Kluyveromyces lactis: one gene and its partner. The protein of the gene in region 1 interacts with the protein of each later gene in a biochemical or structural test. Links are inferred from orthologs where the notes say so. Each region holds a gene or a part of one and is shown on either strand. Other genes may lie near its edges.

What was found. The genes of interacting proteins can lie anywhere in the genome.
Region 2: the proteins of MIA40 (region 1) and TIM10 form a complex in vitro, tested with the Saccharomyces cerevisiae proteins (4 studies listed by BioGRID, with this or other methods). The link is inferred for Kluyveromyces lactis from reciprocal best matches to the Saccharomyces cerevisiae genes MIA40 and TIM10.

The regions. Positions count from the first base shown.
Region 1 is NC_006040.1:228,401-231,434, forward strand, and holds MIA40 (Mia40p), read left to right. Parts: upstream 1-1,165; coding exon 1,166-2,386; downstream 2,387-3,034. Other genes in the region: palmitoyltransferase YKT6, read right to left, coding at 164-766; mRNA splicing protein SPP382, read right to left, coding at 2,763-3,034. UniProt on the Saccharomyces cerevisiae protein: Required for the import and folding of small cysteine-containing proteins (small Tim) in the mitochondrial intermembrane space (IMS). Forms a redox cycle with ERV1 that involves a disulfide relay system.
Region 2 is NC_006042.1:2,403,149-2,405,333, forward strand, and holds TIM10 (protein transporter TIM10), read left to right. Parts: upstream 1-1,300; coding exon 1,301-1,570; downstream 1,571-2,185. Other genes in the region: RCO1 (Rco1p), read right to left, coding at 1-186; SDD2 (Sdd2p), read left to right, coding at 468-869; cytochrome c1 heme lyase CYT2, read right to left, coding at 1,868-2,185. UniProt on the Saccharomyces cerevisiae protein: Mitochondrial intermembrane chaperone that participates in the import and insertion of multi-pass transmembrane proteins into the mitochondrial inner membrane.

The DNA of each region.
Region 1 (3,034 bases):
ACCCTAGTGGACAGGAAGGAACGAAAGGCTGATCAAAGGTGGCGGTCAAAACGCCGGTGAAACCTTACTATTACTTTATTTTGATTACTATTATGCTTAATACTCGTAGCAAGGGCTATATATGATCAGGCTGGCCATGTTTTGGCCTCTATTTCAAATCCGTCTACATAACTATACAGCACGAATTGGTTTTCTTTGCTTGCTTATAGAACATCCTCGATGCAGCAGATAGTGATTCGGACTTGTCTACCAAATTGTCCAATTTCTCACCTCTTTGTAATACGTTTTCAATGGTTTTGTGTAGCGTGATCTTGGTCTCGTCTAATTCTTGCTGTACACGCATTATTGCATCAGCTTGAGATGGGTCCTGATACTTGGCAATATAGATATCCAACTCCTTCAACTTGAGCGAATCGTCACTCTCCGTCACGTCCTTCCACTGGATAGGAGGGTGCGCTACCAAATACTCATCCAATACTTTGTTCAACAACGTATAAGCTGGTCTTACTGGGTACTCCTTATCCGTAATCAAAACACCACAAATTCCTTCAGGCCTTGCGTAAACGTGACCTACATAGTTACCTTCTTCAACACTCTGTCTTTGACCAGCACTTGTCCTGCCAGCAACAGTCTCACTGAAAAAGGACATGAACTGTGCAACACTGTTCCTTTCAAAGAACCCAAATTGTGATAAGTCCTTCACAGAACTTAATTCAAGGGTCTTATCATCGCTGTTTCTTAAAACTCCAATGTAATATATCTTCATCCTTGTATCCTGTATCCTGTTTTCTCCCACTTGTCAAATGAGAAAAAAAGCTACTATTTTGCCCAAACTTAACTATTCTTAGATCCCCTATACGTGTACTATAACACTGTCCTTCTCGTCTCCGTGTTATCTTCAAAATACATCATCATTTCCCATCCTCATATCACAATGCTTCAATATCCATTTTGTTTGATATTCGAATTTTTCTTTTTTTTGCTAACAAAGGCATTTTCAATTTGTCAAAGGAACATTTAAAAGAGAAGCTGATTGATACCCACAACGGGAGGAAAGAAATTTGCTTTTAGTTAGGTTTGGTATTTTTACAGTACACTTAGAAAACGTTTGAAAGTTGCTGACGAGTCAATTGATTATAGGCATATACATATTTTTTTGAAGACAATGTTCCGTGTTTCTTTACAAGCTACTAGACGTGTTGCTTTTAGATCCGCTAGACAAATTAGGTTTTACAGTGCTCATCCACCTTCCGGTGGAGTGAGCCATATGAACAAGCCAGCATTGTTGTTGGCTGGGTTCAGTACTCTTGGTGCCATCTACGTTGCTGATGGGTGTCCTACTTTGATTGAGAGGAAGCCTGCTCCTGCTGAGAAGCCTGCTGAAGAGACTCCTGCAGCGGGCCAATCACAATCTATTTCTGAACCTACGAAGGATGCCGATGAATCTCCGGTGTCTGCTCAGGAGGAAGGTGCTGAGCCAGTTACTACTCCTGAGAACGAGATTACTTATAGCGAGGAGACACACCAGGCCTTAGCAGCCACCTTATCAGGAGATGAGCCAGCTGCCATTGAGCCAGTTGCTGAATCCGTCAATGAACAAGCTACCGAACCAGCTGCCAGTGGAGAAGCCACCAATGAACCTGTTACTGGCATTTCCGAGGATACCAAAGCTCCCTCTTTGAGCTTCGATGACTCAAAAACTGCCAAGGGTGTTGTTTTAGAAGATGAAGCTGACAAAAAGGAGATTCAACAAACAAGCCCAGATGCCGTAAAAACCGCCTCAAAAGACGGTTCAGAAGGTGAATCGGATGTTGTTTTGCATGAAAAATCTCCTGCTGAAGCTGAGACCATAACAGAAGCAGAAGAGCAAGCTGAAATTCGGTCTATCTCCGGTGGCACTGCTGAACAGTCCGCTACTGCGGCTGCTGCGGCTGCAGGTGTTCAAGGTGAAAAAAAAAACGAACAACAAACTGCATACAACCCAGAAACTGGTGAAATCAACTGGGATTGTCCTTGTTTAGGTGGTATGGCATACGGTCCTTGCGGTGAAGAGTTTAAGTCCGCTTTTTCATGTTTTGTCTACTCTGAAGCTGATCCAAAGGGTATCAACTGTGTTGAGAAGTTCTCCACTATGCAAAATTGTTTCAGAAAATACCCAGACTATTATGCTGAACAAATCAAGGATGAAGAAGAAGCTTCTGCAGAAGCTTCAAAAATCGAGGATAAGAGCACTACCCCGGTTTCAACTGCCACCTCTACTGTTGAAGTACAAACTGAAAATGCCGTTTTCGAACCTGTCTTGGAAAAATATGTGGAAGAAAACCCTCAACTAAAGGATACTCCTGAAGCTGCCGCTGTCACGAACACTGACGATGAAAAGAAATAGAATCTTCCCGACCCTGAACTGCTGCCGTTAAAGATACTTTTTTAAATTTGCCAATGAGCATCATGAATTCTGACGTTTGAACAAAGATAATAAAACTAAAGCTAAAGAAATTAAAAAAATTACGTGGTTCCCTTGTTTGTGTTATATCCAATTCAAATAAAAGCCCATGGCTCTCGTAATGAACTGACCTGTTCATCGAACTCGCCTTCTTTGTCCAATAAAAAAAAAATTAACATACATTCTTATTACATTCTACAATTCCATTCGACATAATGGCAATGTGAAAACGAACAAAAATCCAATGAAATGTTCTGATAGCGTGTATAAACACTACATAAAGACATTTTCCTAATGATATGCCATGCTTATTCTGTTTTCAAATTAGATCCAGTAATTGGTAGAGAAAAATTGGCTCAAATCTTGATTCTGTTCTGTTTCTCCTTTGTAACCATAAAATATCTCCCATAAGGACTACATTTACTCTTTTATTGTTATATTTACTCACAGTGAATACCGGAGCTACCTTCTCTTTGCCAAATATATTAATTGAGGCAGTATCATTATCAGTTTTTCTGAAGGATAATCCATGATCATGACAAAAAGTTTCTACAACAGTTTTAAAGGTGGTAGAAATTTTGGTCATGGGTG
Region 2 (2,185 bases), on another chromosome or scaffold:
ACTATCCTTAAGAATGACTGGTCCAATAGGTTCTGTCGATGGTTCTTGGGACGGTGATGAAGATATTGAGGATGTACTTTTCGTTGGATAATCATCACTTGGAATAATCCGTCTCTTTTTCAGATTATAATCCACATTGGCAGTACCTGACCGTTTGGGCCTCGTTACCTCCATATTTTTTGTCATGAAGCCGGAAAGTAGATGTACTGGCACGTAATTTTTTTAGCCGGTACTTTCCCCTACTCGTTGTTTCGCGTTGAACCATAATTTAATTCAATTGTTAGATGCGTTCAATTAAATTTGTATCGCACTTTTTTATTTTTTTTCTGTATTCCAATATCACGAACCTTCGATAGTTGAAGTCGTATACACATACCAGCTATATCAATGATAATGGAATCAAAATGTATATAGTTACGGGAACAGGCTGAGGCGTCACCAGTCACATTAAAATAATAGAAGCAACCATGGACGACGAATTGAGAGCCATTAGAGAGGCCAGATTGAGGGAATTGAAGCAACAAAGTGGAGGAACATCAGAATCAGCAAACAACGGATCGAATGATGGTCAAACACAAGCGATATTGAATCAGATTTTGGATTCCAATGCACAAGAAAGATTGAGCAGGGTAGCGTTGGTGCGGCCAGAACGTGTAAAGGCAGTAGAAGCTTATTTACTACAAATGGTGCGGTCCGGTGCTATTAGAAACAAATTAACAGAGCAGGACATCGTTGGAATCCTCGAATCAGTCGGAAGAGATGAGCAAAAGCGCAATACTACACGTATTATATTCGATAGAAGAGAAAAAGGAACAGCATCATCTAGTGTGGATCAAGATGACGATGAAGACGATGATTTCTTTGACTAGTTATCTGTCTTCAATATATCAGGTTTTAACAGAGAAAGAAAGTAAGATATACATGCATATATAATTACAACGAATGAGAACTCAATCCTCATAAGTACCAAATAATTGCAAGAATCGGTAGTTCCAAAGGTTCAATGACTACTATAGGTCAATGCTCCCTCTGTCAAATCAATACATGTCCAAATCACGTGCATGTGACCGGGTAACGTATATTTCCTCATATTTCTGAAAATTTTCAGTATAGCAACTATTCGTCAGGAATTGCAGTTCACTAAAATTTAACTAATAGCAGTTAAATGCGTTGACAACTAGACTGTTGTTTGATCTGTAAATATTTATTGACGTAGTTTATCGTAGTGATTAGTCTTCTATTCATAGCCACAGGAATACCACTCCTACAATAACAACATATAAAAATCATCTTCTAAGAAATGTTCGGTCTAGGCGGTCAACCTCAATTATCTTCTCAACAAAAGCTATCAGCAGCTGAAGCTGAACTAGATTTGGTTACTGACATGTTCAACAAGTTGGTCGACAACTGTCACAAGAAATGTATTGAACAAATTTATAACGATGGTCAACTAAACAAGAACGAATCTACTTGTATCGACAGATGTGTTGCCAAGTACTTTGAAACTAACGTTAAGGTTGGTGAAAACATGCAACAGCTAGGCCAAGCTTTCTCTCCAGGTAAATTCTAAACCCGATGAGGGAAGCTTAAGCCGGGACGTTAGTGCATAATCTTTTTCGCAACTTTTCACGTTTTATCATGTACATATATGACAAATTTTGTATATACAAATATATTATATATATATATTAATTATCTATTTACAGAGTTTTAAAAATGAGGTAATGTCGGAGTACCAAACGATTAGGTTTGTGTATCTCGATCAAACCGATAAATATAGAGATATAAATGTATTTGCTAATACCGTGATGTGTTTTTGTCCATTATCTTCCCTTAGGATTGAAAATTTGGACGATCCCTTCTGTCTTTAAAATCCTAGCATTTTCATAACGCGTAATTTACAACCTTCAAAAGTATTCACTTTTGGTCTAACGTCCAAATATATTGGAGGAAGGTGGTTCTTTTCAGGTTCTGGATTCGAATAGAAGTCGATGACATAATCTATTTGTTTCCCGCAGCGATCGACGACCCAATCGTGCCTATCAAAAGGTTTGGTCATTCCAAGGATTGAGGATCTAAACCATGCTCTTGGGGTTAACTTCTTTGAATCGCCTTTGAAACTAGTCAATTTGATGCCACCACAGACATCTCCCCCTTGTCCGTCTTCCCAAATTTTGATATAATT